Linked DNA regions of Daphnia pulex. The protein of the gene in region 1 purifies or fractionates together with the protein of each later gene. This does not show direct contact. Links are inferred from orthologs where the notes say so. Each region holds a gene or a part of one and is shown on either strand. Other genes may lie near its edges. The genes, in order: contactin-like and neurexin-4-like.

What was found.
Region 2: the proteins of contactin-like (region 1) and neurexin-4-like purify together in Drosophila melanogaster (affinity purification with western blotting; 4 studies listed by BioGRID). This does not show direct contact. The link is inferred for Daphnia pulex from reciprocal best matches to the Drosophila melanogaster genes Cont and Nrx-IV.

Annotation. Positions count from the first base shown.
Region 1 is NC_060028.1:7,915,704-7,920,290, reverse strand, and holds the start of contactin-like, read left to right. Parts: upstream 1-1,540; 5' UTR 1,541-1,682; exon of another isoform or gene 1,683-1,749; 5' UTR 1,750-1,760; coding exon 1,761-2,297; intron 2,298-2,357; coding exon 2,358-2,674; intron 2,675-2,744; coding exon 2,745-3,360; intron 3,361-3,418; coding exon 3,419-3,577; intron 3,578-3,650; coding exon 3,651-3,844; intron 3,845-3,926; coding exon 3,927-4,139; intron 4,140-4,205; coding exon 4,206-4,587. Other genes in the region: myoneurin-like, read left to right, coding at 27-131, 386-1,056. UniProt on the Drosophila melanogaster protein: Required for organization of septate junctions and paracellular barrier functions.
Region 2 is NC_060021.1:7,495,440-7,499,930, forward strand, and holds the end of neurexin-4-like, read left to right. Parts: intron 1-14; coding exon 15-891; intron 892-961; coding exon 962-2,367; intron 2,368-2,437; coding exon 2,438-2,720; intron 2,721-2,786; coding exon 2,787-3,658; 3' UTR 3,659-3,943; downstream 3,944-4,491. Other genes in the region: solute carrier family 12 member 9-like, read left to right, coding at 4,330-4,491. UniProt on the Drosophila melanogaster protein: Seems to play a role in the formation and function of septate junctions.

The DNA.
Region 1 (4,587 bases):
TGTAATTGTGTAATCAATTGTAAAAGAAAATCGAAATGCCAAAAGGAAACGTGCAGCAACAGAGACGCCCGGGACCTCGGATGATTCGACTGGAAGGCCAAAGCGGCCAAAAACTAATGACAACAAGCAGGGTATTTATTATTGTATTTCCGTCTAGACTTGATTGATGCCCAATTGGCTCCATTTTTTCTTTTGATGTGACGTCAAGACTGATTCAGTTGACGTCACAACAATTTTGGGGGGTTCTCTTATAATCTCATCCCTTTGCGGGGTGCCTTTTTTAGCGGGGTTCTACTCTAAGGATTTAATTGTGGAGCTTGCTTGTCAATACTCTTGAGGAATTTTTATTCTGTTTATGATATTTACTGACTGTTTTTCTATTCAGAAATGATTGTAGGTAGGGACGCAAACACACATCAAGCCATCAGCGGATCATCAGGAGTTACAGACATCCGGATGGAGGCCGTTTTTCAAGAGTCTCGTATACAGCAAAGTTACTCCATAGTAACGAACGCCTTGGCCTCAACTGAACGAGCTCCAACAGTTCACAGTTCGACAACTCTTGAGAAAAAAACATGGAATTTTAGTGGGAAACACAGCGCAGAAGCTGTGGTTGAAATTCAACGCCTTCAAGGTTTCTCTAATTCGCATGGCGGACTGAGTAACAACGACCCTAATTTTAGTAGGAATTCCGTTGGTCTACGTTGCGATGAGGACGAAGAAGAGGATGAGGATGAAGATATTTTGTCAACCAACTTAAGCTTAAGCACTAGTAAAAATGGTAACTGCAGTAGTTCTAAGCATACAGTGAAGACAAAAAGGCCGAATGAAAACATGCGTGCAAACAGCATGAGTTCTAAGCGTAATCATAAAGAACGTTACAGCTGTCAAGTCTGCCGTAAAATGTTCCCGACACCTAGCAATTTAGCTGCCCATTTTAGGATCCATTCGGGAACGAAACCTTTTAAATGTGACCTCTGTTCCCGGTCATTTCGCCAGAAAATTCATTTACAGAGTCATATGCGTAGCATTCACAAGATCATAGTTGACAAGTGATTCAGTTAAATTTTGTTAATACTGACGATCAATTAATTGATCTACCTAAAAATACTTGTTTCCAAAAACGTTCATACATTGATCCTCTTTAACATTTCACCATATGTTCCTGGAAACTTGCACTCGTGTTAACTGGTGAAAATAATACAGATGTATTTTGTAATTGTGTGAATTTTTAAAGCTCAAGAAAATCACCGGGTATAGACCGGAAGCAAAGTGGACAGCTTCAGTTTTGGTATCCCATTCCCCGTAACTCAATTTTCATATCGAAGTTCAAGTTCAACACAATCTGATATTTACTTTGAATCACACAAAATTTATTTGTACAACTCCGAACGGAATAAATGGTTTGCAGAATTGTATGAATAAAATAAAAAATTTAAATCATCGGTCATCGAATACGACGGATGTTATTTTGGCGATTTGGCAACCATCGCGTCTTACCTGCAATTGGTTGAAATGTGCTTCTTCGCCTACACCTGCTAAGCTTTTTCTTTGGGTGTTGGCTTTGGCAGTTTGTTGTTTGGTTTACCTGGTTTACCTGTTGGGCAACTTGCAGTTGTCACTATGAATTTTTAAAGTAACGTTTTACTTTTTATTTCGTTTTCGAACTTCTCTGGTTAAAGGTAAGTCATTTAATCTCATTGAATTCAACGCCATCGTTTTAATTCATAATTATTTTTTTTCAAACAGTGATAGCTGCAATGAATCCTGTCACGTTGTTACTCTTCACATTCCTTGTTTGGGAATCAAATGCACAACTTTTAACGTCGCCCAACAGTTTATTTGGACAAACTAATGTCAAAAGTGAAACTTATGATCCTGATGCAATCTGTCCAAAATCTTGGGTGCACTACGCCACGTCATGTTACAAATTCATTCGAAGCCCAATCAAAACTAGAGATGAAGCTAGGCAGTACTGCAGAGCTTTCAACTCTGACTTAACCAGTGTAAACACACTTGAAGAACATAGTTTTATCACAACATACCTCAACAAGAATGACCCCAGCCATAGAATTTGGTACATCAGTGGAAGACAACAAAGCCCAGGTGTATGGATCAACGATGGAGATGGCACTACCATGATGAATCTTGATACAGCCTTCTTACCTAATCAAGAAACTGTCTTTGAAAAGGACTTCTTATCTTATGGTTATTCACTCTCAGCTAGACAGTGGGGTCTTTTGCGTGTGGATGGAAAAGACCCATTGCTTTATATCTGTGAAATTCCTGTCAATCAGGTATTTATACAAAAAATTATTTCTAAATTTTCTTGTATTAATAAATATCCTTCTTGCTAGGTGAATTTATTGGATGTGGAAGACAGAACATTTCAGTATGGAATTGTTGTAAATGATATCACTAGAATTCCGCGTGGGCCTTACTTTATTCGGCAACCAGTGCCTGTGGTATTTGATCTGACCAGAAGGAAGACATTGAATCAAGTTACCCTTAGTTGTATAGCAAATGGTTACCCTACTCCAGAATTCCAATGGTACAAAGAAGATTTTGAAAGCGACCAGCTTGTTTCCAAACGGATTGATCCGCTTCTAATGCCACGACATACTGTCAGTGGTGGTTTGCTAATTATTACCAATCCAGAGGAAATCAAAGACAGGTAATTTTAAAATTAAAATGTTAGTTATCCACGTCGTATTATATTGATATTTGTGTAATTTGTTTTGCAGAGGAAAATATCATTGCGTAGCCAGCAACCAATACGGGTCTATCGTATCCGAGAGTGTGCAACTTTCCTTTGGCTTCATTGGAGAATTCAATCTCAAGCGTTCATCAGAAAACGGTCTTGAACATTGGGGAAAAGCGATTTATTGTGATCCTCCTCAATACTTCCCTGATATCCAATACTATTGGGTCCGCGATGTTTTCCCCAATTTCGTAGAAGAGGATTCACGAACTTTTGTTTCTTTCGACGGAAACTTGTATTTTTCATCCCTTGAAAATATCGATCGAGGCCGCTATTCCTGCAATGTGCAAAGTACCGTTTCCAGTAACGGTCGTAATGGACCTTTCTTTTCGGTCGAAGTTCGCCAGCATCCTAATTACCAACAGCTCAAATTCCCAAACAATTTCCCCAAGAGTTTCCCAGAAGCCCCAAGAGTTGGTGAAGATGTTCGACTTGAATGCGTAGCATTTGGTTACCCTGTCCCTAATTACAATTGGACTCGTAAAGGAGCTCCATTACCTAAGGGTGTTGTCATCACAAACTACAACCGAATTCTCGTTTTACCCAAAGTAAAAGTTGAAGATATGGGAGAATATGTTTGCCGCGCCACCAATGACAAGGTATTTCGCAATCTTAATTTCTTTTCTGTATTTAATTTAACATTTTCCGGTTTTTAAGGTTTCAATTGAAGGGTCTGTGACAGTTAGCGTTCAAGCCACACCAGTATTTACAATTCCGCTTGGAGATATGCATATGGACAGGGGCGAAGATTTGTTGTGGACTTGTGAAGCATTTGGCATACCCGACGTCAATTATCTGTGGCTACGAAACGGACAGGTTGGTTTCTAATGACTTGATGCGTAAACTGAAACAGTAACGTTATATATCGACTTTTAAATTCGTTTCATAGGTTCTCGACCCTCTTTCGCTTGAGCAAGGAGATCGCGAACGCTTCGAGATCCGTGAAAATGTTTTGATTATACGCAAACTGGACCCAGACCGTGATCAAGCAATGTATCAGTGCAAAGCTTCGAATCAAATTGCGGAGAGGTACTCATCCGGCCAGCTGAGAATCTTGGACATAAAGCCTTCGTTTGCTAAAAAGTATGTTTCCTTCTCTCTTCATTTATTCTTTAAGCTTTATCTTGGTATAATTATTTAATCGTACTACCTTGTTTCCTCAAAGGCCTTTGGAATCCGACATTTATGCTGCTGACGGAGGAAACGTAACTATTGCATGCAACCCGGAAGCTGCACCTCGACCGAAATATGTGTGGAGGAAAGATGGCTTCGCTATTGGTTCTGGTGGAAGAAGAATTATTCTTCCATCTGGACACTTGCTTATCAATCCCGTCTCTATGGAAGACGTTGGAAATTTCACTTGCACTGCCGAAAATCGGTAAGAAAAAATAATAACTTCAGATTAAATCTCAATTGTTTTTCATGTTTTTGTTGTGGTCTATAGGTTTGGCTCGGATTCTAGTACAGGGCGCGTCATTGTTTTGCGTGGGCCAGTATTCGTGGAGGAACCTCCTAACCGCATCCTCACCACAGTAGGACAGACGGAACAGTTACGTTGTCGAGCGTCGGCAGAGGGCATCCTTGATTTGGCTTACATCTGGAAACACAATGGAATTACATTGCGGTTTGATTCGTCTCCCGTCGACTTTCACGATAATTTGGAAGCGGCTCACTACATCCGCTCAAGAGAAGGCAGTCTTGAAATCAATAACATAACATTGGGTCAAGCTGGAGAATACGAGTGTGTGGCCAAGACTTCTGTCGGCCGTATCTCCACCAAAACACACTTGTTTGTGTATGGACCTCCGGGAGCTGTCGGTGGTGTC
Region 2 (4,491 bases), on another chromosome or scaffold:
TTATACTATTCTAGATGTTCAAAGGTAACACGGACGGAGATGGGATCCGGAGAAACCGTTTCGAAACGCCCATCGTCGCACAGTACATCCGCATAAATCCAACAAGATGGAACGATCGTATTTCCATGAGGGTGGAACTTTATGGCTGCCCTTATGTTGCTGACGTACTTTACTTTAACGGCACGGCTCTTCTCACGCGCAATTTGGAAAATGACCCCATCACGTCACGGAGAGACAGCATTCAACTTCGCTTCCGTACCAATCGAGCTGATGGAGTTCTTATTTACAGTCGTGGTAGCCAAGGCGATATTTTTGCCTTACAGCTGGTTAACAATAGAATGCTACTAAACATCGACCTGGGCGCTGGCCTACTGACCAGCCTTTCAGTTGGCAGCTTACTCGATGACAATCTTTGGCACGATGTAAGAATCCTCCGTAACCGACGCGAAGTTATTTTTACTGTCGACCGCGTTATGATCCGAGAAAAAGTGAAGGGAGATTACGCTCAACTGGACCTTAACCATAATTTCTATATTGGCGGTGTCCCCAATATGCAAGAAGGCCTCGTCGTGACTCAGAATTTCACCGGTTGCATTGAGAACATGTATTTGAATTACACCAATGTAATCCAGGCCGTCAAGGACTATCGGCATGAAGATTATTACAAATACCAGCGAGTTCAAGCCCTCAGCTCCTGCCCTCAGGAACCTATCGTGCCTATTACTTTCCTGACTGCCAACTCTTATGCCAAATTACCCGGGTACGAAGGCGTTAGTTCCCTGAACTTATCATTAGATTTTCGTACTTTTGAAGAAAATGGACTTCTTGCTTACCATCGTTTCACGTCTCCTGGATTCGTGAAACTATTTATTGAAACCGGAAAAATTAAAGGTAATTTTCTATTGTTATATCTGTAGTAGAATCAAAAGATGTAATAACTAATTTTCTTTTGCTATTGTAGTTGAAATTGCTGCCGAAAATGTGCCCAAAGTTACCCTCGACAACTTCGGAACGGATCTGCTCAATGACGGACGTTGGCACAAAGTTATCATGACACTTTCAACTAATTCCATGGTGTTGAGCGTCGATGGCCGCCCAATGAAAACTGTACGCCTCATGACTTTCCGCACAGGATCGAGCTACTTGATTGGTGGTGGCGTTCCCAGCTCATCTGGTTTCATTGGCTGCATGCGCCAAATCAATGTTGACGGACATTACAAGAGCCCACTGAACTGGAAAGACGAAGAATTCTGCTGTAAGGGTGAAATTGTCTTCGATGCCTGCCAAATGGTTGATCGCTGCAACCCCAATCCTTGCGAGCACAGAGGAGTCTGCAAGCAAACATCCGAAGAATTCTATTGCGATTGCGCCGGAACTGGTTACGCTGGAGCGGTTTGCCACATGTCAGCTAATCCTGTCTCTTGTGAGAGCTTCCGACAATCCGGAGCCAATGCCAGCCCTGTTGATATCAGCATTGATGTTGATGGAAGTGGTCCGCTACGTGCATTCCCTGTCACTTGCGAATTCTTCAGCGACGGCCGAACATACACCTACGTCGGACACAAGAATGATCAAACAACGGTTGTTAACGGCTTTGAAGCACCTGGTAGCTTCGTTCAAGATATTGCCTACAATGCTGACGTTGACCAAATGGAGATCTTGATGAACCGTTCCTACACCTGTCGCCAGCGTCTCCGCTATGAATGCCGTCGTTCGCGTTTGCTCAACTCACCGTCACCGGAAACGCAAGAATTCCGTCCCTACAGTTGGTGGATGTCGAGGCAAAATCAGCGAATGGATTACTGGGCTGGCGCGCTTCCCGGCTCGCGCAAATGCGAATGCGGTATCGACGGAACTTGTGTGGATCGCACCAAATGGTGTAACTGCGATGCTGCGTTGGACACTTGGACAGCTGACGAAGGAGAAATTTTAGACAAGGAATACCTCCCTGTACGCCAATTGCGTTTCGGAGACACTGGCACTCCTTTGGATGAGAAAGAAGGAAAGTACACTTTGGGCCCTCTTCTTTGCGAAGGTGATGTCTTGTACGACAATGTGGTAACATTCCGTGTGGGAGATGCCACCATCGATTTCCCCACCTTCGATATGGGTCACAGTGGTGACTTGACTTTTGAATTCAAGACCACAGTTCAAAATGCTGTGTTGATCCATAGCAAAGGACCGAGCGATTTCATCAAAGTGTCCATTTCTGGTGGCGACACTTTACAGTTTGAGTATCAAGCTGGATCTGGAGCTCGTACTGTAACTGTCGAAACATCCAACAAGTTGAGCGATAATCAGTGGCACTCTGTTTCTATCGAGCGTAATCGCAAGGAAGCTCGTATGATTGTTGATGGAGCTTTAAAGGTATTTCATCACGTTTATTGTAAAAAAAAATAGTGTGAAATTGCATTAAAGTATTTTTTTTTCTAACCAGTCGCAAATTCGAGAACCTCCTGGACCCATTAGGGCTATGCTCTTGACTTCACCTCTTGTGGTGGGTGCCACTGTCGATTACCGCGATGGATTTGTTGGTTGCATGCGTGGCCTAATGGTTAACGGCCGTCATCTTGACATGAGAGCTGCTGCTCTGGCTGGTCTTTACGGTATCGGCATCGGGTGCACGGGTAAGTGTGACAGTAATCCGTGCCTCAACAATGGAACTTGCCACGAGAAATACGACAGCTATCATTGCGACTGTCGATTCACATCATTCAAAGGTAATTAAATTCTTTTGGTCTCTTTGGTTTTATAACAATTGTTAATGGTTTTCTTTTAATTTTCAGGTCCCATCTGTGCCGACGAAATTGGTGTCAATATGCAGAGCAATTACATGATTCAGTACGATTTTGCTGGATCATACAAATCGACGCTGTCTGAAAAGATTCGTGTTGGATTCACTACAACAGACCCCAAGGGAATCCTCATGGGTCTTTATTCTGACATCAGCAAGGAATATCTCACATTGCAGGTGTCAAATAGTGGCCATCTGCGTCTGGTTTTCGACTTTGGGTTTGAACGTCGTGAAATTATCTTCGAGGACCAGAATTTCGCTACTGGCCAATTTCACGATGTGCGGATTCGACGGGAAGAATCAGGCACTCGGGTTGTAATGGAAGTTGACAGCTACGAACCTCGATCAATTACTTACAAGATTAACCCTTCGGCCGACGCCCAGTTTAACAACATTCAACATCTTTACCTTGGACGAAACAAAACTATGGCCGAAGGTTTTATCGGCTGTATTTCTCGTGTCGAATTTGATGACATATATCCACTCAAGTGGCTATTTCAACAGAATCCTCCTCCAAATATCATGAAGGAACCCAGTTCCATATCAGAGGATTTCTGTGGCATTGAACCTGTCACCAACCCACCGGATGTACGAGAGACGAGACCTCCTCCCATCGTCGATGAGGACAAACTACAAGAGTTTTATCCACCAGCTCATTCCGCTATTTTGGGCGGCATTTTAGCTGTCCTCTTCATTGCCCTTGTTTGTATGGCTATCCTAATCGGACGTTATATGTCTCGCCACAAGGGAGATTATGTTACGCAAGAAGACAAGGGAGCAGAGTACGCGCCAGATGAGCATTTTGCCGTCATGCAAGGAGCTACAGGTCATCAAGTTCAACAAAAGAAGGAAATTTTTATCTAGACTGTGTATCATTTAGAAGAAAACAACAATTGGAGCGAAAGTATGATTTTTTGGATGACTGACATGTTATCTTGGTTGACCCTTTTCCGTCCCTTTCCGTGAATCTCACGTGCAGTTTTTTCCCATTTTATAAGCCATCACGTTTTTATTACATTCACTTTTTCTCCCATCTTTGATTGTGATCGCCAATTCCATTTTTTCTTATCTCTTTCATTACATTAGGTGACTTGATGTGGTTGTTGTGCATTGTCGATGACGAGGAAATAGAATTCTTTTGTTAACTGATTTCATTTTTATTTTTATTCGGGAAACCAATTCAAAGAGGAGTTGGAAATTTGGAATCATGTGGTTTCCTTTTCCGGTTACGCAATGAACGCCTCTACGCTCTCTGGTGTTCTACTTTCTAATCATGAAAGCAGACGGCATTATGACTTTTTATATTTTTATTGTGTATTATAATCTGATCGTGTCAGTGTGATTGAAGCATCGGGCCGTCTGACACTACTCTATAAACCTGTGGAGGAGTGGGTGTGTTTATTCAAACACAGCTTTCCAAGTCCTTGGATAGTATTGTTCGACTTGTCAAACAAGAAAGTAAAATTTAGTTTTTAACTGTAAAACTCAATTAATGTCTCACGTAAATGTTTTTTTTTTTTTTCAACTAAATTAGAATGGACGATGCTATTGATGTTATGGGGGTTACCCATGATGAATCCTTTAACTCAGCAGAGCAGACTCCCTTACTTTCCCACAGGCGACTGATTCGTAGTCTGAGTAGTGTCCAACCTCCAAACCATGCTGCCTGCTTGCGTGTACCCAGAAGACATGTGTCA